2 linked regions of the Diceros bicornis minor genome follow. The protein of the gene in region 1 interacts with the protein of each later gene in a biochemical or structural test. Links are inferred from orthologs where the notes say so. Each region holds a gene or a part of one and is shown on either strand. Other genes may lie near its edges.

Evidence for each region.
Region 2: the proteins of COL1A1 (region 1) and SPARC form a complex in vitro, tested with the Homo sapiens proteins (2 studies listed by BioGRID). The link is inferred for Diceros bicornis minor from reciprocal best matches to the Homo sapiens genes COL1A1 and SPARC.

Annotation. Positions count from the first base shown.
Region 1 is NC_080757.1:36,083,272-36,094,140, reverse strand, and holds the start of COL1A1 (collagen alpha-1(I) chain), read right to left. Parts: upstream 4,820-10,869; 5' UTR 4,712-4,819; coding exon 4,621-4,711; intron 3,118-4,620; coding exon 2,923-3,117; intron 2,829-2,922; coding exon 2,794-2,828; intron 2,696-2,793; coding exon 2,660-2,695; intron 2,572-2,659; coding exon 2,470-2,571; intron 1,678-2,469; coding exon 1,606-1,677; intron 1,364-1,605; coding exon 1,319-1,363; intron 1,157-1,318; coding exon 1,103-1,156; intron 925-1,102; coding exon 871-924; intron 332-870; coding exon 278-331; intron 159-277; coding exon 105-158; intron 1-104. UniProt on the Homo sapiens protein: Type I collagen is a member of group I collagen (fibrillar forming collagen).
Region 2 is NC_080740.1:68,553,059-68,564,572, reverse strand, and holds the start of SPARC (SPARC), read left to right. Parts: upstream 1-6,941; 5' UTR 6,942-7,000; intron 7,001-11,514.

The sequences.
Region 1 (10,869 bases):
TTCTGTAGCTGCCGCCCACCCCAACACACACCAGGATCCGGGAAGGGGCTGGAATGGTGGGATGCTGGGACTTTGGGAACTTAGATGACTCAAAGAGGACTCACTCTGTGTCCCTTCATTCCAGGGAGGCCAGCTGTTCCGGGCAATCCCCGAGCACCCTGGAGAGCAAAGAAAAGGAGGACAGAGGCAGGGCCGTTAGAAGACGCTACTGAGGACACAGCTCCCAAATGATGCCCGAACAGAGCGAAGCCGGGGCCAGCCACACTGTCCTGCTCACCTGAGGTCCAGGAGGCCCACGCTCACCAGGACGACCAGGTTTTCCAGCTTCACCCTGAGAGGGAGAGAAAAGGCCTTCATGCATGTGCGCCCTGGGCCGGAAAACTGTATGAGGTCTGAGTCTTCTTGGGACTGTTGAAGGTCAGGCTTAGGGACCCAGAATCTTATCTCTGAATTTAGAGCTCCGTTTAAATCTACCGTGAAACCCTTGTTTGGTGAAGTTTGAGTCCCTCCAAAGGAATATCTGTTTATTTCTGCCACCAGCATTTTAATCTCACCATATGAGGGCAAATCTGGGGTGCCCAGAGTGGTTAAGCCTAAGGAAGTCACTCACCCCAAGGGGTGGGACTGGGGACTACTTTAAGGTGGCTGGGACCAGGGGAGGAACAGTCACCCCTGTTGGGGAGATGGAGAAACATCCCACGCAGGGTGAAGATCGTTGCTCAAGGGCAGTCCCATGGGTCAGGGAGAACTTGCCCTCCTTTCTCTGTGTGTCACCCCCAAGGGTGGTAGGGGCACTGGGGTGGAGATGACTGAGACCTAGCCCATGGAGGCAGTGGGGTCAGATGGCATCTTCTTGTGGGGGCTACTTACATCATCTCCGTTCTTGCCAGGGGGGCCAGGGGGACCGCGGGGACCCATAGGACCCTAGAGGAGATAAGAGGAGAGGTTAGAATCACCAGGATAAGGAAAAAAGAAGGAGAGGGCTGGGAGTGGAAGGAGGAGGTAGGGAAGACTCCAGATGGGGGTGTTGCTCAATAGGAGAATCCATGTATTTGTAGAGGGAGTGTGTATTTGTATAGAGTACACGTTGACGGGCACTTACTGAGGCTCCGGGCTCTCCAGGCTCACCAGGGGGGCCTTGGAAACCTTGGGGACCCTGGAGGACAAGGAGAGAGGTGTGGGGTTATAAGGGCATGTCCCTGCCAACCTTTCCCCATCTCACCAAGAGATCTCTGAGCACCTTCCCTGCCCTCATCCCAATCCTCCCCTCAAAAGACCAAAGCCCAGGGTGGTGTGTGAAGACATCCTGGATACTCACAGGGGCGCCAGGGGGACCAGGGAGACCACGAGGACCAGAAGGACCCTACAGAAGGAAAAGAAGGGGAAGCTGTAGTGATACCTCTGTAGGCAAGTGCAAGGTGGGTGAAGTCAGGCTATCTCCCATTGGTTCCTGTTGGGACCACCCAGTTGTTTTGCATCCTCTCTGGACTCTGAGGTCCCAAAAGTTGTCTTGATCTCCCAAGTTATCTTAAGCCATTACTGGCCCATCTTGTCTGGATTCCCAACTGCTCCTCTTCTGTCTCTCTACACCCCCTGGTGGCTCACCATGGGGCCAGGCACGGAAATTCCTCCAGTTGATTTCTCATCATAGCCATAAGACAATTGGGGAGCAAAGTTCTAGAAAAAACAAGAGAGAGTGCATGAGACAGCAGCGAGTTGAAAGGCAGAAGACATCACGGATAACAGGCCCCACTGGCATTGTATGCCTCATCATGTGATGCACTGAGAAGAACAACAACATCACTTGGGAAATATTCCTGCCAAAGACGCACCGCCCAAATCTAATTATGACACATCTGACAAACCCAAACTGAGTGACAGTCTACAAAACAACTGGCCTCTTCAAAAAATCTCAGGGTTGTGACAGACAAAGAAAGTCTGAGGAATGTTCCAGATTAAAGGAGACTAAAGAGACATGACAATTAAATGCAATTCATGACCCCAGATTGGATCCTGGATCAGGAAAAAAAATGCTATAGAGGACATCTTTGGGACATTGGTAAAATTTGAATATGGATTGTATATTAGACAATAGTATTGTTCCAATGTTAAATTTCCTAAATGTAATCGTGTGCTATGATCATGTAAGAGAATGTTCTTGTTCTCAGGAAATACTGAAGTTTTTAGGAGCAAAGGGACATAATAGCAACAACTTACTCTCAAACGGTTCAGAAAAAAAATTATGATAATTATATGTATGCATAGACAGAGACTGATAAAGCAAATGTGACAAACTGTGAAGGGTATATGAGAGTTCTTTGCATTGCTCTTGCAACTTTTCTGTAAGTTTGAAATTATTTCAAAATATAAAGAATGCCAGCCGCCAAAAACAACAACAACAACAACAACAACACAGAGAGGGGAGGGGAGCACACCAGGCTTTCCACAAGCATCTCGCTCTGCACTTACTCCTCCGAGGCCAGGGGGTCCGGGAGGTCCGGGAGGCCCGGGGGGTCCGGGAAGTCCAGGCTGTCCGGGGATGCCATCTCGGCCAGGGGGGCCTGCGGGTCCCTGAAGGGGGAGAGGGCGCCTGGGTGAGCTCAGGTCAGGAGCCACACCAACCTCCAGCCCCCAACAGCCCAGAGAGGGCGAAGCTTACCCTTGGGCCTCGGGGGCCAGTGTCTCCTTTGGGTCCCTATGGGGTTGGGGGAAAAGAAACAGAAGCTGGGTTAGAGAAGGGAGGACCGTGAGGAGTCACGGGCAGGGTGGCAAAAGTCGAGGGTAGAGGATTACCTCTACTCCTGTGGTTTGTTCGTCCGTAGGTGACACTGGGGGGAGAAGAGACGCGGGTTAGAGGCAGGGTGGGCTCCGGTGCCCCGACGGCCCCGCCCTCCGCCCGCCCCAGGCCCCTAGCGAGCGTACCCTGGCCTTCAGGGCAGACGGGGCAGCACTCGTCCGGGGGGACAGAGGCTCCGGGACAGTTCTTGGTGTCTTCGCAGATCACCTCATCGCACAATACGTTGCCATTGTCGCAGACACAGACCCGGCAGGGCTCGGGTTTCCATACGGCTCCGTCGTGGTACCTGAGGCCGTTCTGTATGCAGGTGACTGCTGGGACTGGGGCAAGAGGGGAAGAGCGGGGCTGTCAGCGACGCCCGAGCCTCCCACCTTGGGGCTCCAGGGACCCCAACCCTATCTGCCCTTCCTCTCTGTCTTAGAGACACATTTAGATTTTCCATTTCTCGCCTCCTCCTTTTTTTTTTTTTTTTCTTTTTCCCTAAATCCTTAAAAGTTCGTCTGCTCCTCATCAGGGCCCGTGACAGTGTCGAGGCCCCTGGCCAGCGCGGCTATAACTCTTTCCAGTTCTCAGGAATTTAAACAAAGCTTTAGGCCGGGGTTGCTTCCAACTCCAACCTCAGCCCATTGGCGCTGAAGCCAAGTGAAATAAAAAGCCACTGGGTGGGGGAGTGGGGGGTGGCGGAGTGGGGAGGAGAAGGGGGGGCCCTTTCAAGAGGGCAGGACTGTGGGGCGTGGTTTGGGTGGAGACAGGAGGAGAGGGTGGGAGGAGAGATGGCAGGTCCAGCCCCCATTCGGCCCCATTCCCTGAGCAGGTGGGATGGCGTGGGCGGAGCTAGGAGGATGGGGAGGGGCTGATTGGCGTGGCGTCCCGCCCAGAGACTTGAAATGTACCCCAAAAGTAGGATACGCCCTAATCTCCAGCTCCCAGACATCTCAAAAGTCCTCTCTCAGGAACGACCCCCGTTTTCCAAAGCCAACCAGTGCCTCTGGGTCCCTCTTTAGCCAAAGAACCAAAAGTCCGCAAATAGCAATGAAGTTAGTTAACCACGCCCACCGCGCGAGCCTCTCTCCAGATGGCCACTAGGTGGCGGGCAACACTAAGCAATTTCCCGGGCCTGGCCGCTTCCGTTAGAGACAGGGGCTACCCGGTCTCCAGCTTTATTTTCTAGGTCTAGAGGTGGGGTCCACACCCGGCAATAACCTCCGTTTTCTCTCTCCAGCTCCTACGGCGGGAAGCCCTGGACAGGGAGGCACGGTGCTCAGTGTTGATCAGCAGGGGGCGCAAGGACCCGCCCTGCCAAGTCGCGCCAAAGTTTCTCAACCTCCAACCCGCCCACACTCCGCGCCCCCTCCCCCCTCAGCCTAGCACCCCCGCGGCCCCAGGAACACTGTCTAGCCCGCAGAGAGGGCAAACAATCTTTCCCTGTGAATCATCCCACAGCCTTCCCGACCGCTTTTACATCTTGGGCTCCAAATTCCCAGCTCGGCGACCCCATCCCATCTTCGACGTACTTGCCCCCCACCCGCGCCCAGATCCCCATTTTCCCTGTTGTACGCCGCAGTGCGCGCTCGAGACTCCCTCCTGTGCCAACTCAGGCCGAGCTCCATCCTCCTCTCCCACTTCTGGGGGACGTTCCTCTACACTCCCCACCCAGGGTGCTCGCCCTTCTCTCCCAGGGCGCGAGGAAGAGCCCTAACCATCTCCCTTCCATCCCTGAATCTCCGGAGCATCCCCAGTCTCAGTTTAGGTCGCAGACCCCCGGGACCGAACGCAGGGCAAGACACCAAGTAGCCCTGGACTCTCAAAAGTTTGGGACTTACTGTCTTCTTCTTGGCCCTCCTCTTGGCCGTGCGTCAGGAGGGCGGTGGCCGCTAAGAGGAGCAGGAGCCGGAGGTCCACAAAGCTGAACATGTCTAGACCCTAGACATGTAGACTCTTTGCGGCTGGGGTGGGGGTTAGCGTCCGCTCATGCGTGGCCTCACACTCCGCGTGCCTCCTGCTCCGACCCCGAGGAGAAACTCCCGTCTGCTCCGATGACCGGCCCGGGCCCCTTTTATACCATCTTGATGGAGAGCGGGGAGGAACCCTGCCCCTGGGAGAGGGGGAGCCGGCTGCCCGTCCCCCAGCCAATCAGAGCTGCCTGGCCCGGCCCCCAATTTGGGAGTTGGAACCGAGAAGGGGAGGAGGAGGGAAGGGAAGGGAAGGGAGTCCACCACACATCTCCCCCCTTCGCAGCTCTGCCTCCCCAGCCCCCCAGTCCAGCCTGGGCCAGAGATGCTGCCGCTGGGGTGCATCTAGGTCCTCAACATAGTGTGGCCTAAAGAGTGGGTAGGGGCGCCTCTTCAGCTTTCTTCCTGGGACCCCCAATCTGGAGAAACTGGAATTGGGGAGTGGGTGGGAGCCTTCCAAAGGTGGAAGGATTGGGGTGATTGGGAGAGGGTCCTCCTGGCCATGCCTCATGCACGCTCCTGACATCCTTGGCAAGAGCTAAGGGATGGATATGAAGAGGCCGGCCGAGAACCCCTCCAAAACAGGAGACCAGGGAATTAAAAAGATGTACCTGTTGGGGTGTCTTCTGGCGTGGCTGGGTTATGGAGCTTAGGAATATTTGGGGACCAAGTTAGAGATTCCTTTATAGACCTTAAGAATCAGATACTTGTGGAGGGGGTGCTGGCAAGAGGGGTTTTATTTTGAGGATGTCGATTCTTCTGCCATGCCTGAGGCTCCAAGACGGACTCAGGTCCTCTCCCTCAAGCTTCAGGTATGACTGAGAGAGACGAGATGGGGAGGCTGAAGTACCGGGTGAGAATTTGGCTACATGGTCTCTCCAGAAGGAAGCTTTGGTGTTGGTGGGGCATTGCTGGGACTCTTCCACCCCAGGGGAAGTGACTTTGCACGGAGGGCTATGATCACTGATGACTTAGAAAGGGGTCTCGTGTTAGGGTGTGCTTGGTGGCCAGGGCCTTTTTAGAGACTCTTCTACCCAGAATAGTCAAGCTCCGGTGGAGGGCACTTGACCAGAGAGAGGGTTCTCCCTCTGGGTGCTGCATAAGGCCCCCTCTCTGGTTGTACCTGGACTCAGGGTTGGGGGTATACGGGAGAATTTGGGTGTCTGGGGGAGATTTGCCTTTGGGGGTTTGGGATGGACTTGCATGGGAGGGTGAGTGACCTTGTTTTAGAGAATGTTTCCCACTGCCCCACCTCTTTCCTGAAAACCCAGGGCATTTCTCTCTGCCCCCGGAACCAGGAGAGAATCATATGTACCCTGAAAGGGGGTGGGCACCCCAAGAAGTCTGTATTTGGGAGAGATGCCTCTAGAAGCCAGTGTCCTCCCTCCCTCGTGTCCCAATCTCCCAACAGTGCTCTACCTCAACCTCAATCCACTCAGACCCCTGGTCCTGTCAAAATCTGTGGGCCCAAGAGAAGGCAATGGGGGTCCCTTTGCAATCCCCGTCAACTCGAATCCCTCCCGCACAGCTTCCCCACCCCCATCACTCCAGAGCTGCAAACGTGGAAGCGGGGAGTCCCGCCTCCCCCAAACCATCCAAGATTCCATTGCCTCCCCCCGCCCCTCTCCACGCCCTCCCCCGGCTGGTTTTGTGCAACGAAGGCAAAGGAAAAAAAAAGACCAAGGGAACAGAAGGGGAGGGAGCCACGTTGGCCGTGGGCAGCCAGGATGAGCGTGCGGGCGGGGCAGCGGAGGGAGACTGCAGGGGCTATAATTAAAGGGAAAATATAGAGTTTCCAGAGAGGCAAGCGGGAGACAGCAATGGAGGGACAGGCCTTCATCAATTATCCCCACCATGTGGCAGCAACTTGTGGCCCAGGATCTGCCCCCGCCTAGTGCCAGCGACTGCAGGGCAGGACTGGAGGCTGAGATGCTGAGATGGCAGTTCTTGCACCCTCCAGTGTGGATGGGAGACAAGGGGCACCATCTCCCTAATAGAGGAAAAGGGTCCTGTCCCCCATAGTAGTCAACCATGTGGAGTGGGTGTCTGGGGTGGGGTGTCACAGGCTTGGGGCAAAGGTTGGTGTGACCTGCCCACCTCCCTTCTGGCTGAGTTTGCACAGCCAGAAGGACTCCTCCCTGCAGCCCCCTCCCCACATGCACCCTGTCCAGACTGTCCTACTCTCACCGTCAAGAAGAGATTAAGCCTCAGAGGTGCGGATTGGAAGCGGCTACATCATGGGCTTCTGAAGGATGTTCAGGGACCCCTGGGATGGGGGTGGGTGGGCTTTGTGTGTGTGGCATGTGACAGCCACTGCCCCTATGTCCAGTTTTGGACCTCCATCCCCGGAGCTGCGAGCAGAGGGTTTCCAAGCATCCTTTACACGTGGCATAGAGCTGAGGCCCAGGGCCGCCTCTGCTACTTTTTGACTTGAAACGCTTGGCGGGCGCCCAGCCCAAAGATGTGTCTTTAATTTCTGCAGCATGACAGTGAGAGGAAGAATGTGCTTGGGGTCTCCTCCCAGCCTGCCTGGGCCTCTTTGGCCAGGACTGAGGGCTTGAGACTTGGGGGGAGGGAGCTGGGGCTGGAGAGGGGAGGAGACGCCACCTCATCTTTAGGAAACTCTGAAGCTCTGGCTTCTTGTGGAATGCAAGACTTCGTCCGGCATTTGGAGTGGGGGGAGCAAAAGCCAAAATCTCCTCCCCCCACCCCCAAGAAATGGTAAAGTCATCAGCACTTAGGGAAAAAAATTCCTCAAGAAGAAAAACAGAAAGAGGAAAGTGCTGAGCTCTAAGTTCTCGCCCTCTCCAGATTTCCGAGAGTGCCCTTCCTCCACGAGGGAGGGGGCGGGCTGTGCTCCCCAGCTCCCCTCTCCCTCTGGAGCCCCTCACGCCCCCAGTCTGGACTCCGTGATGTGGGACAAGGGAGAAGAGGCAGCCCTGGTGTTGGTGCACCTGGTGGGCAGGTGGGTCAGCCCTTTCCAGCTGCTCTGGTCCTCTGCTGAGGTTCCGTTGCCCTCCGTCCCTGATCTGACCTTCCAGAATGGTCTTCTGCCTCACCCTGGCCCCAGACTGGTGATGGAGAGAGGGTCTCTAGAGAGGGGTTGAGGAGAGAGAAGGGGAGGGAGTGGAAGAATGAGGCTGCAGTGAAGACCTTGGTCTCCACATGTCCCCATCATGGAGCCCTGCACAGGTCCTATTGAGGAATTCTGAGGGCAGAGTCCGGGGACAGACTCCAGGTGTGTGGGGTCCTCTCGTCTTCCCTTTCTTCAGCAGTGCACCATCTGGGCCCTTTGGTCCTTAGCTAAGTTCCTTAGTTTCCAGGCAGAGCTCTGCTCTTTCTATGCCTCAGCCTCAACCCAATCCTTCTTTAGCCTTCTGAGATGTCCCTCCAACTCATCATCCTTTCCAGGTTTAGAGGGGAGATGATGAATTCAGTTTGTCCATGTTGAGTGTTAGGTGCCCATGAGACATCCAGTGACAAATGTAGAGGAAACTCTAAGGTGTCTGGGTCTGGAGTTTAGAGAAGAGACAAAAATGGGACCCCTAGGGTGATGGTGTGCATGGAGTTGTATCCTGAGAAAGTACGGAGCAGGGAGAGATGAAGGGCTAGGACTGAGCCTTGAGGACCCTCAGGGTTTAGGGGTAGGGAAAGGGAGGAGGAGCCTGCGCAGGAGAAAGGACAAGAGCGGGAGAAGTAGGAGAGTAAAGAGGAGAGGGATGGTGGATGTCATGTATGCAGAGGGAAGATTGCTCTAGAAGGAGGGAGAGTTATATGCTGCAAAGAGAATTAGTGTGATAAGGAGTAAACTGTTCTCTGGATTCAGCGACATGGCAGTGATTGGAGCCCTAAGTGTGAGCTGTTTCAGTGGAGTGAGGGTGAGGAGGCCTGTCTGGAGTGGGTGAGGAGTGAGCGGAAGGCCAGGAAACGGGGTCAGAGTGCAGACAGCTCGGAGGAGGGGTTGGGTGTGATGGAGAGGAGAGCGAGTAGAACCTCATCCTCCCTGCCTCCTTCTCTTTTTCCTTCTTTCTCTACGTTTCCCCCACCCCCACTCCTGTCTGTCCCCTGCCTCCCTCTGCTGCTTCTTTCTCCATCCTTCCCTCTCTGGAGCTCTCTTTCTGGGTCTCATTTGCCTTTTTGGCTCTTTCTGCCCTCAGATGTCCACATCCAGGCCGAGATGTCCACTTCATTCTCTTCTAGAGCAAGCCCTCAGTCCAGGCTCCTGAAGAGAAGTCTTGATTTCTAGTCCCGGCAGACCCTGCCCCATTCTCTGGGGCCCCCCAGTCCAAGAGGGGAACTTGGGGCAGAGGAACCAGGGGAGGAGCTGGGATGAGCTGGGAGAAGGGCTGGGCGGGGTCCTCAGGTGACACTAGGACTGTTCCACTTAACGCTGCTCCCCAGGCCCGCTCCAGCCAACCCACAGGTCCCAGCCAGGTCCCAACTGAGAATAATGTGCTGGATGGGGACATTGTTGGGCTTGGGGACCTATCCTTACTTCCGCTCTGTGCTGGTCACAAGTGTAGAGTCAGCGCCCATCTTTCCTGCTGGCCGTGAGCTCCCAGGCAGGGACCTGGCAGGTTCCTCATGGTGTTTCTAGCCCCTCAGTATGTCTGGAGGCAGAGCAGGTTTATCAAAGTTTGGGTGAGTGAACTAATTGATTTGTCATTTACCTCTTTCTGGTTTGGTTCAATTCTCTACTTGTGCTATCATATTCCCATTCCTCACTTCTTTCTTTTTTTCTACTCTTTTATCTCCCCCCACCCTTAACCTTTTTCCTCTTCATGTATTTTTCTTCTTTGTCTTAGTTCTTTTCTTTCCTTTCCTTTCTCTCTTCTGCCTCTGGCCCATTGTCCCAGCCCTCCACCCACACACTCCTCCCTCCCTCTTTTTCTCTCATATTCTCTTCCGGTATCTCTGGTGCCTCCATCCAGTCTCCTGGTCTCCTGATGCTGCGTGCAGGGCTCTGGGAGGAGAGAGCTGCAGCAGCCTCAGAGAGGCGGGGCAGAGGGGGCCAGGCTTGCATCACAACCAGATGTCTGGTTGAAGGGCTTAGGAGATAGATGCAAAGGTTCCTTTGAAGCTTGAATTAAAAAAAAAAAAAGAATGGGAGGGGCAGCCCCTGTGAGGCAGAGGCACCTGTGCAGACCCTGATCTCCTCCTTCACCCCCACCCCCATCCCCCACAGGTCAGCCTCGGCCACAGATGTCTGGTGTCTTCCACTTCTGCATCAGCCACCAGTTCTTCTTGGCAAACCTGGGATTCTGGAGTTTCTGGGGTGGGGAGTTGAACAGAGGGTGAGATGGGGGGATCCCAGTCTGTTCATTTGCACCAGCCCTGGATAGAACTCCCTTTTGGACAGAGTCTGGCTTTGACATAGAAAGGATCCAGAATTATTCATTCAACAACATTTATATGCGGGGCCTTGCTGGACGCTGGGACTTCAGTGCCTGTCCATATGGAGCTTACACCTGGTAGAGACAGACATTAATGCAATCACATAAATAAACGTGTAATTGCAACTGTAAACGTTACAAAGGAAAGGGACACAGTCTGAGCGGCAGGCATCCCAGAGATCCCACCCTAGACCCAGGGGCCCAGTACGCTTCCCTGAATAGATTGATGGATAAGTAGAGATAACTTAGGTAAGGGGTAGGTGGCAGGGTGGGGAGTTGAGGTGGGTGTGATGGTGCTGCATATGCAAAGGCCCTGGGGCAGGAGGAGGCATGGCAAGTTCTAGATGCTCAAGGAATCCAGAGAATGCCAGTGTGCTAGAGCACAGGGAGCTAAGGCCAGGCAAGCCAAAGAAGCCACATCACTGGTTTTAGTTCTTATCCTCAGACCTTTGGGCCCCAGTAGAGGGTCTAAAGCAGGGAGGGTCACAATCAGGTCTGGATTTGTAAGAGACACCGTGGTCACTTGGTGGAACAGGTACTGGAGGAGAGCTGTGGCGGACAGTGGTTGCTGCATGGGCCCAGGTGAGAGCTGATGAGAGCCTGGACCAGGTTGAAGGGAATGGCCACAAAGAAGAGGATGGATTCAAGAGCCCTTTGGGAGGCAGAATTTATAGGTGTTGGGGCCAGATTGGACATGGGGGTGTGGTGGCGAGGAGCAGGGAAGACT
Region 2 (11,514 bases), on another chromosome or scaffold:
GTACCGCTTGTCAGGCCATCCTGTGGCGGCGTCCCATATAAAGTAGAGGAAGATGGGCACGGATGTTAGCCCAGGGCCAGTCTTCTTCAGCAAAAAAGAGGAGGATTGGCATCAGACGTTAGCTCAGGGCTGATCTTCCTCACACAAAAAAAAAAAAATTTCCCAAAAAGTGTTTCATGGAACACAAGTTCTGTGGGATGCATTCAGAATTTCATGAAAAAGAGGGCTCTGTAAAGTTTAAACAGAGTTAAACAGGTTCTTTTCTGCAAAACTTTTCAGGGCCTTTAATGTTCTAATGTGCCTCAGGAATATTCCTGAGGAAGGTGACAAATGTCACATTTGCCAAACTCGCTTGAATCCAGGGTCCTTCTTGTTTTCTGAAGACTAATATTTTGTGGAACACACTTGGGGAAATGTTGAATGATTTAATGATGTAATCATAAGATAGCTAACATTGATTGATAGCTTAGAACATGCAACAGTGAGCCAAGTGTATTACATATACGATCTCATTTAATCCTCACGAGACCCTCCTAAAGTGGGGGTTACTCTTTTCACTTGAGGAAACAAAGGCTGGAGGTTAAATAACATGCCCCAAGTTTTTCAGCCTTAAGTAACTTGCTATAGCACCCAAGCCCAGGGATCTGACTCCAAAACTGGGCTTTTCAACTTGGCTCTTGTATTTACTAACTCTCTAAAACCCGTGCTCACTTGAATCTTACACTGACTTTGTACCCAGGAGGGTCAAGTATTCTGATCAGGCTCATTTTACAGATAAGGAAACGGAGGTGGAGAGGAGAGGGGAGCAGCTCAAGGACAGAGGATAGGGCACAGGTCCCACTAAGGACGGAACCCACCTCAGAACTCAAATTAACGCTTCTTCTTGGGGGGTTTGTGTCAACATGAGAGAATGCAGCAACACATTGTTGGCCATTCATCACCTCAGTGAAGAGGGGGCCGTGTGAGGAGATGCCTCTGCAAACTCTCCCTGGAACCCCGGGCGCAGGCAGCTGGTGTACTGGAAAGAGTCTTGGACTGAGTTTTAGGAGTCTGGCGTTTTTGTTTCAGCTCCATCGTGGGCCAGCTGGGTGACCTTGGGCAAGTCCCCGAGGGACACTGCTCAAGCCCGAAATGTGCTTAGCAAATCCTGACTTTTCTACCTAATAGACTAAATATGCTACTCACTAAGATTATGGGTATAAAAGTCCTTTGTGAGCTGGAAAAGAGCTGAGGGGGAAACCTGAAGCTGCTGAGTGGGAGTGTTGTGCGTGGGGAGGTGCCGAAGTGAAATCTCATCCTCTTCTCTGTTTGGCCTTGCCCTCTCAGCAGCCACTCAGCCCAGGGGACCAGGGGCCAGAGGACAACGAGGTCTTTGTGCCCTTCAGCCAATGGGAGGGCCTGCCTGGGGAAAGAAACAGTAACAAGGCAGACAGCCTGAGTCAGTCTCCAGTGTGCCAGGGCCTTTTTAGCTTGGCAGCCTTGACTTTGAGCCAGACACACAAAGGGTGCATTTCAGAGTTTTGATACATAATCTTCAGCCCAAAGGGGTCAGCTGGTCTGGTTCCTGCCTCTAGAGACTTGGGGCAGCTAAAGCTGGCTTCAGCCTGGGCCTGGAGTTAGGAGACCAGGGCTCTAGGCTTAGCTGTCTACACTGTGACCTTGGGCTCTGAGATCCTCAGTTTCCTCAGCCATACAAGGAAGATGTAGGATTGGATAGGGCCTAAGGACCCTAACAGTTCTAAGCTTTGAAAGAATAGGACAGATTCAGCCTGTTGAAAGACGCATGGCTTTGGGGAAGATGGGGAGGAGAGGCAGCCTCACTAAGAGCATGGTACATGCAGAGGTATGTACAGGGAAGCGATGGACAGTGTGGGGTCTGGAGTTGAGCTGCTTGTGTGGATTCCTGGCTTCACCTCTGTGGGACACTGAGCAAGTCATTCAGCTCTCTGAACCTTTGTTTCCTCATCTTTAAGATGGGATTGGTAATTGTACCTACCTACGGTAGACAAAATAATGGCCACCAAAGATGTCCAGGTCCTAATCTCCAACTGTAAATATCCTACCTTGCATGGCAAAGGGGACTTTGCAGATTAAGTTAAGGATTTTGAGATGGGAAGATTATCCTAGATTATCTGGGTGGGCCCAATGTAATCACAAGAATCTTTGGAAGAGGAAAGCAAGAGGGTCAAAGTCAGAAAAAGGAGATGTGGGGGGCCGGCCCCGTGGCATAGCGGTTTAGTGCGCGCACTCTGCTGCTGGCAGTCCGGGTTTAGATCCTGGACATGCACCAATGCATTGCTTGTCAGGCCATGCTGTGGCAGCGTCCCATATAAAGAAGATTGGCACTGATGTTAGCCCAGGGCCAGTCTTCCTCAGCAAAAAGAAGAAGATTGGCATGGATGTTAGCTCAGGGCTGATTTTCCTCACAAAAAAATATAGAAAAGAAAACAAAAAAAGAAAAAGGAGATGCAATATCAGAAGCAGAGGTTGGAATGATGTGCTTAGAAGATGGAGGATGGGCCATAAGCCAAGGAATGCAGGCAGCCTCTAGAAACTGAAAAAGGCAAGGAAACAGATTCTTCCCTCAAGCCTCAGAAGGAATGCGGCCCTGCCAACACCTTGATTTTAGGACTTCTGATCTCTGGAACTGTAAAGTAATAAATGTGTGTTTTAAGTCACCACGTTTGTGGTAATTTATTACAGCAATAACGGGAAACTAACATACTACCCAAGAGTGTACATTAAGTGAAGATAACTGAGATAGTGAGCATAAAGTGTTTTGCCCAGTGTCTGCTCAGCAATATTGGATATTATTATCTCTCTTCCCAGTTTAGTCATAATTGTTCCAACCAGACCTGGTGCCTCAAGTACCCATGTGCAAAATTCATCAGGTTTTTTACCTGCGAGGCCCACTCAGGATTTATGGCCTGGAGAGCTGAACATGGAGATCCTGACACTGTTTCCGATGTAAGCTTTAGGGGATGTTTCTTGGCACTGCTCTTATTTATTTAACTTCCTGCTTGGTTGCGTTCCTCCTTGCCTGAAGCCAAATCAACAGAGCCTCCCTGATCTGTTTCCAGAGTTCAGACCTCTCACTCCCTGCCCAGGTGTTCCTGCCTGTACATGGGTTGCCACCTGGCCCCAGTCCAGCTTCCAGAGATGGTCCACCAGGTGGTTCAGGTGACAGAGACTCTGGAGTTACTGAGCAGAAGGACAAGCAGGTTCTCGATGGGGTTGAGAATCTGCCTCTGATCCAGGGGTCAGGAGACCTGGTTTTGAGTCCCAGGTCCACTGGGTGATTGGGGCTTCAGTTTCCCCATATCTACAGTATAGGTTTTAAGCCCTGCCCTGACTTTCTCACAGGACTGCTCTGTGGTTCACTGAGATGGTAGATGAGAAAGTACTGTGGAAAGTACTTTGGAAGAAGAGGAGGAAGAAGGAGAAAAGGAGGAGGAGGAAGAGGCAGAGAAGGGAGCTTTCCTCTAACTGACAATTCTAGCCCCACCTCCAGTTACTTGTAGAAGCCAAGCTCTCCCATCCTAGGGTCTTGGCACTTATTCTCCCCTTTGCCTGGAATACTCCTCCCCCAGCCCTTCTCACTGACTCATCATTCAACTTTTTTTCTCAAAATTTTCCTCCTCTAAGAAGCCTACCCTGACTATCCTATCTAAATTGCCCCCCCCATTACCTACTCATTTCATCCTGTTTATTTCATTCGTAGAATTGATCACAACCTGAAACTAATTTATCACCTGCCTCCAGCTATTAGAACGTAGAATGCATGAAGACAGTCTTTGTCCTACTTATTGGTAAATCCCCAGTGTGATGGAGTCAATGAATGAGCAAAGGAGGTAGCTGATGTTCTGGGAGGCGTGGGGAGCCTGGATGCTGTGCACCTGTGGGCATTCTCCAGGCAGTGGGCAGTAGAGCACCCCTGAGTTCTCAGGCTCTGGCTGGGTGGTGGGTCAGGAAGGGCAGGATCAAGGTTGAGGTGGTGGTGCCTCGAGGTGCACAGCTGAAGAGTGGCTGGACAGGGTGGTGGGCAGGTGGCAGGGACTCCAAGGTACTGACTTCTCATTTTGTAAGCTGAAAAGCTGATCCAATCTGATGTTGAGTCAGCAACACACTCAACTAAAGAGCTGAGGACCAAATGGCTGTGGAGTCTAGAGTCCACAGATGTCAGAGCTGGAGGGGAATTCAGGAGGGGGTGGTATGTACCCCCTCCTGAATTATGATCAAGAACTGGGCTCTGGTGTCTGTTACACCTGGATTTCAATCTCTGATTTGCCGTGTACTTGATGCACGAACTTGGGCAAATTATTGATCTGAACTTCATTTTGCACATCTGTAAAATGGGGATAATAATAGTCCCTATTTCATAAAGGTTAGATCAGAGAATATATGCAAAGGACTTAGCTCAGTGCTTCGCACATAGTAGGTGTTTAATAAATGCTGGCACTCATTACTACTATTATGCTGTCTAATCTATCTACAAATGGAAAAGGTGTAGCTCAGATGGGGACAGGGATGAGCCCAAAGTCACTCACTGACTCAGTGGCAGAGTGGGGATTGGCCCCCAGGTCTACTACACCTGGCCCGGTTGTGCTTCTCTCCCTTCCTGTAAAGCCCTTGGTGGTCGCAGGAGAATCAACCTTAGTCCTAGTGGTCTCCCTTCCTAAGTCACAGTCATCCTTGCTTCAGAGGCTGCTGTTCCCCCAGTGTGTTCTTACCCCTAGACACAAAACCTACCAAGTTTTCCTGTGAGGGATCCTGACTCAGAGTCTCCCCACAGGGGCCTGGGAGTGGCCTCCAGATGGGATCTCTGTCCCAAAGCTTTAGCCTAGCCCCAATCTGCTTTCTAATTCCTGAACCAAAGGCCGCATGGGAACTCCAGCCAAACACTGGGAATGGCTCCATTGGCTCATTCTCATCAGAATTGTTATCTTAGTTTATGAAGAAAAACACAAAGTTTAAATTAATTTTAGTCTTCACGATGCCTGGGAGCTATAGCAACCAATCCTATAAAAAATATATATATCTCTAGATGGCAAAACAGATATATGAGGAGTCTGCCAGCACCCTGTGTTGCACAGCCAAAGCAGAGCATCAGCTCTTGGCTTTGGGACCAGGGAGAGGCCTTGGGGATCATCTGGAGCAGAGCTCCTTTCCTGGGTTCCTGACTAGCCCTTTCGAGAACCTGAAGGAAGCCATGAACCGTCTCTGCAGAAAAATGCACACAGGTCCAAACTTTTAGCTTTAATTTTTGTAGGTTTGAGGATCTCTTGAAGACCAGTGTTCAGCACTATTCCAGGCCGGAACCCTATTAAAAGACAACTCCTTCCTTGATTGAGAGCCAACTTTGTGTTGGCCACTGTTCTAGACACTTGGAACACTGCTGTGAGCAAGACACATGAAGCCCCTGCTCCCATGAAGCTTCTGTCTAGTGAGGGAGACAAATAGTTTCTGACTGTGACAAGTGCCAGGACAGAAATAAAGAGAGAGCCAAGGAGACTGGTTTAAGTTGGGTGGTCAGAGGGTCTCTCATAGGAGATGACATTGTAACAGAGACCGGAAAGATGAGAAAACTCCAGTCACAGGAAAATGAGGTGGAAGAGTGTCCCTGGCCAAGGTAACACAAGTGCAAAGATCCTGGGTTGGGAGTAGCTTTGGGGTTGTTGAGGAACTGAAAGGAAGCTGGTGTGGCTGGAGTAGAGTGAGCCAGGAGGAGAGTGGCAGGAGGAGAGGATGGCAAGAGAGGCAGAGGCCACATCATGTGGAGGTTTATCAGAATATTTTCTGCCTTCTCCCTCTTCATGGTATTCAAACCCAATCCATGCTTCAAGAGCCACCTCTTCCAGGAAGCCTTCTCTGTTTGCTCCAACCCAGAGATCCTGCCACTCTGAAGCCCCGGGATAAACCTCAGAGTCTGTACCACTCATGTGAGTGCATGTATCCATAAGGCATGTCCTGTCAGCTTGTCCAAAGTTCCTTGAGGGCCAGATATTAATTCTTGTACCTCCCTTGCTAGGCATTTAATAAATATTCAACCAAGACCTACTGCACTGAGAAGTTCGTGTAGTGTAACTATGAACCAAGTTGACTATAGAATCAGCCTGCCTATACCACTTTTAGCCAGGTAATCCCAGGCAAGTGACTTAGCCTCTTGGAGACTCTGTTTCCTTCTTAGTAAAATGGGCATAATAACAATATCTAAGTCAAGGGCTTGCGGTGGAGATTAAGTCCTCAGTAAACCTTGGCTATGGTTACTTCTCTGATGATTATCAATATCATCAGTCTCCTTATCCGTTCTGTACTGATGACACGGATCCTCCTGCTAGAAAGCTAATCTCTCATTGTCTATTAGTGGTGCAATTAGAGTTAGAGTGCTTATTTTTAGACCATATCCCAAATCACCAATGATGATGCCACCAGTGGCAGCTTCTCTTGTCTGTACAGAGGTGAGTCCTGGCCTTGCCTTTGTCACAGTACAACCCCTTGAGTGGTTTTGCCCTTCTCAGCATTGCCTAATGTTGGGGAGGGCTCTTGTAAAGATCGCTGGTCATAAAGTCAAGACATTTGGGCCTGGCTCTGCCACTGGGGGCCCTTGGATAATCCCTTGCTCCCTCTAGGCCTCAGTTCCCCTCTACACAAGAAGGACGTTCCTTGTTCTAGGTGATTCCTGCGCGCCTGTCCAGCCCTGGCACTCTGTGAGTGCCCCAGAACCCACGAGACAGGCAGGGTTGAGAGTCTGCTCAGGACAGCCCACAGCAAGGAGATGAAGAAAGAAATGGAAGACACACACAGCTTTGGCTGCGGGGAGAAGGAGGAGGTGGGAGGAAGGAGGAGACAGAGGAGGAGGAGGGAGCGCGGGGTGGAGGGGGAGGCAGACCCAGCCCAGAGCTCTGAGTGGTTTCCTGTTGCCTGGCTCTAAACCCTTCCACATTCCTGCAGACCTTCAGACAGCCCAGAGCGCACTCCGCCGGCTGCCTGCTTGCCAGAGGTAAGCACAACCCCGGCCCTGCCTTCCCCTTCCCTGGTCGCATCAAGCCCTATCCCCTAGGTCACTCCTCTGGTTTGTGTACACGGGAGGGGAAGCTGTACCGGGATCAGGGATGGGGGTGTGCATGTTCTTCGGGCTCCATCCCCACTCCCGTTAAAGGCAGGAGCCGTGGACTCACTGCCTGTTGCTTTTCAGGTGGAATCACAGTATAACTTGGTCTCCCTTTTAGGTTTGCAGAAAATAATATCACTATGTCTTTGAGGGAGAATTTTCTGTCTCTCTGTCTCTCTCCGTGTCTGTTTCTCTGGTTTCTGAGGCTGCCTGCCTGTCCTCTTTGCTCCCTTTGCAAATGTGGCAGCTTCTTCCTTTCCTGGGAATCTGATCCTGTCACAGCTGCAACAGGGACCAGCTGGCAGCCAGAGTTTGCCCTGCTCTCCATTCCAAGAGAAGAAACTTCCTAGACTTGGTTCTTGGTCAGGGGCTCTGTTTTCCAAGAGAGACTTTGCAGGAATGATAAATTGATCTCTGGAAGACAAAGGGGGAGGCTTCATCCCTAATCACCACCTCCAGGAAGGCTCTTTTTTCCCTCCAATTCTCCCCCATCCACCATGCCCCTACACACACACACACACACACACACACACACACACACACACACAGACTCTGGTGCCACTGGCCTGAAATAGCACCATCAGATAGTCAGTCTTGGGTTAGGCATTGTTTCCATCTTGGGCTCCCTGGGGTGTAAACACAGGAACTCACCAGCAGTAGCCCCTAGTGTGTCTAGATCTGAAGACCCCAGGCATCTGGTATCATCCAACCAAAGTACTGGGCCCTAGGGAGGTCGGGTGTGGTGGGGGATGAGCTGAGAAGGGGAAGGGGGAAGGCAAGACAGAGGGTTCCAGGGCAACCTTCTCACATCTCCTTGTTTTGAGAAGATCCAACCCTACAAAGAACCGGTGTGTAGCCTTTTGGGGCATTAGGTCTTCTTCAGATAAACTCCTTCCTGTCTTTACCCTTGTTGGCTCCATTGGTTGGTTGATGAGTGGACTTCCTGAGTTCTGAAGGACACCAAGGGAAAAGGGGGCACTGGGATGAGGCATGTCCTCTAGGAAGCCCAGTCTGCCCAAAATGGAAAAGAGGGGCACACATTTTCCTCCAGAAAGGACAGCATTCTATGCAGAAAACATAGAGAAAATATTTTCACCAGCAATTCTCTAGGGTTACATTTCTATATACCCAAGTGCTGATGGTAGAGCGAGAAGCAAATCTGCAGTAGGGTGGCAGACTTAAGGTATGCTTAGGTAAGTGTCTCCTCTGGACTTAGTTTCCCTGCCTATAAAGTGAGAGGGTTGGACTTGATGGTCTTCAAGGTGCCTGATGTCCTCTGAAACTTTCAAAGGAAAGTCTCTTAAACCAGAATCCACCGACTGGCCTTTGAATGGGCTTCAAGGCATCTGCAAGCCCCTTAAAATTGTATGTACAGTAGTGCGTGCGTGTGTGTGTGTGTGTGTGTGTGTGTGTGTGTGTGTGTGTGTGAGTGAGAGAGAGAGGGAGAAAATACAAGAGGGTGTTCACAGCCTTCTGTCTTAAGATATTCTCAAATGGATGCATGACCTCCAAAATAGCCAGAAAGCATAGTGAGAGATGGAGTGGGTGGGACTGGAGGCAAACATATATTTGCAGGAGGATGAAAAAGTTTGAAATGGGAGTGGTTGGGGAAAGAGCGAGTTAACTCCCAGCCATCAGCTGCCACATCGACAGAGCCTGGAGCAGGGGGAGGAAGGGAGGGGTGGAAGGGGGGTGCCTGGAGAAGGAATCAACTTTTGAAACTTTCTCCAAGTCCCACCCACAGAAAGCCTCTTCTTTGCCATGACTCACTCTAGGAGGAATGCGAGTTGCCATGGCAACCTTTTTTTCAGGGTCTCTGCCTGCTGACTGGGAGGGGACACTGGGAACACTCAGAACTTCAGGCTCAGTCTGACTATCCCCCACTCCACTCCGTCCCCAAATACCAGGAGAGCAAACTCTAGGCCCTGCCCTTCTGACCTCCCAGGATCCCAGGGCAGCAGTGGGGCTTTGATAAGCTTCATACTTCGTGGACAGGGTGTTTGAAGACCTGAGTTTTAGTTCCACCTCTGCCCCAAAAGTGCCATTGACTTTGAACAAATTGCTTCTCCTATCTGAGTCCCAGTGTCTTCCTTCGTTAAAGAGCAATAACAGCAGCCACCTCAAAGGGATATTGTGTGGACAAAATGGGATAATGTACAGGGGAACACTTGGTAAACTGAGGCCCACGCACCTAATGTGATGTGTTTTCAGAATTGATAGATTTATGGCATCCAAAGAGTTGGTGAGATCATTCCCAGCTTTTTTCTCTGGCAAATCCATCATCTTGGGGTTTGCATATAACTTCCCTTTCCTAAAAGTGCTGATAGGCATATCTAAAAAAACTAAATATCATCTAGATTCAGTTAATTTGGGGACGTCCTTGAGTATTTCCCAAGAGTATTGTACCCTCCAGTGCGGAAAGAGCATTGGCCAAGGCACGAGCAGAGGTGGGTCCTAACTCACAGTAAGTGACATTGGGAAAGACCCTTCCCTCCTCTGGGCCTCAGTTTCCCGATCTGTTAAATGAGGAATCTAAGCTAGATGGTCTCCAGGTGCCCTTCCAGCTCTGAAGTCCGCGAACCTAAATCCAGATGCTGCTTTCATTAAAAGCAATCTCTGGCTGACATTTTTAACACCCCGGTCCCTCTAGTTGAAAAAGAAACAAGAGAGGAGGGGCTAGGGGGTTCTTGGGTTGCATAACACTCCTGCTAAAATCTTTATCCATCTGTAGAGGCTTGTCAACTAATCACGTGACTGGGGTTTGCTAGTCACAAGAGCAGATTTCCTTGCTGAAAATAAGCTATAAATAGGAAAGGATGGCGGAGGAAAGGAAACAGCTGAGGATGTCAGGTAAACAGGAGAATATTTGGTTTTTGAGGTGATTAGATAGGTAGCTAAGTGTGCAGAAGATAAACAGGGACAGACACAAACCCATGAGGAGGCAGGGTAAAAACATGTCACCAACAGGCACTCACTGGCACAGTTAAAAATAATTGCCTCAATACCTGAGCAGACACAGAAGGTCATGCGCTCGCTCACTTCTCCCTGGGCAATACCTTGACTCGCAGGCAAGTTCCAGGTCTACATCTTGATGCAAACGCAAACTCTGATCCTTACTTGTACAGGCCGAAACAGACAGATGCCGAGTCAGGTAGACACACACAGACACAGCTTCACTCAGAAGTCCTTAAGGTAACTTACACAGACATACTGTCAGGTGTGCAAACCCAACTGCCATTTGTAGCCACACATAGATGTGCACAGCCAGGCATAACTACCGGTCATGACAGACCAACACGTTACATACACACAGCACCAGGCCACCTGTTATATTTTACAGATAGAGAAATTGAGACTCAGGAAGAGAGAATAACTTACTCAAGGTCACATAGCAAACTGATGTCTGAGCCAAACTTCCAGATGTTCACCTTGCTTTTTCTTGTTTGTTTGTTTCATCTGATCAGTTTGGTATCACGCCTACACACCTTCCTCTATAGGCAACAAGCCCTGTGGATAATAAGTGATGAGCAGTGCTTTCTCTGTCCCCTTGGCTGGCCTGCTATGGCCTATCCCAGCCCACATGGCTTTGTCATTAAGGCAGCACGACGAGGCTAATAGGAAGTCTGCTCCTTTGCTTCCTGCTGGCTCCCTCCCTCACCTCCTTTAGAGGAGGGAAAGGATGGCTGGAGCTTCATTAATCCTGGGGATTAATGAAGTTACCTTTTCTCTAGAGCACAGAGCCTGGATCCTAACCACAACCCTAACTCGGGAACAGCTGGGCTGAGCAGGGCCAGGGCCGGCAAGCAGTGACTTGCCAGAATTATTTAGAAAAATAGCCTCCTCCTCATCCAAGAGGAGATGTCTTAGACAGGAAGTTAACTCTGCCTTCATTTGTCCAGCCATAGAGCTTGATGTCTGTAGGGAACACATGGATGGAGACACCATGTCTCTCCAGAGCTGGGTTCTTTCAGACACTTGGGATTAACCTATCTGATCTGGGGATCCTTCTGGGTCGTCTTGTGTTAGTCATGGTATTAGGATTCCAGACTGATCAGATGAAAAAGGAAACAGAACAAAACCAGCTAAACATCTGAAAGTTTAGCTCAGGCACCAGCTTGGATGACTTCGAGTAAGTTATTTTCCCATTTTGATCCCCAATTACTCTATCTCTAAAATCAGAAGCATGACAAAGAGGTTTCACATGGCTTGACATCTTACTAACTTAGCTTAGACAATACAACTTACCAACGTATTGGTAGCGGCTGCCAGAAGAACTGTGTTCAGGATTCAGATGTCACTCCGGACTTTAGGGGAAAAGGCCATATGTTTGATTAGCAATGTCTGCCACATGCAAAGGAGAGGCAGGTGAAGGCATACATGCCACGTATTTGCTATCTTCGGGA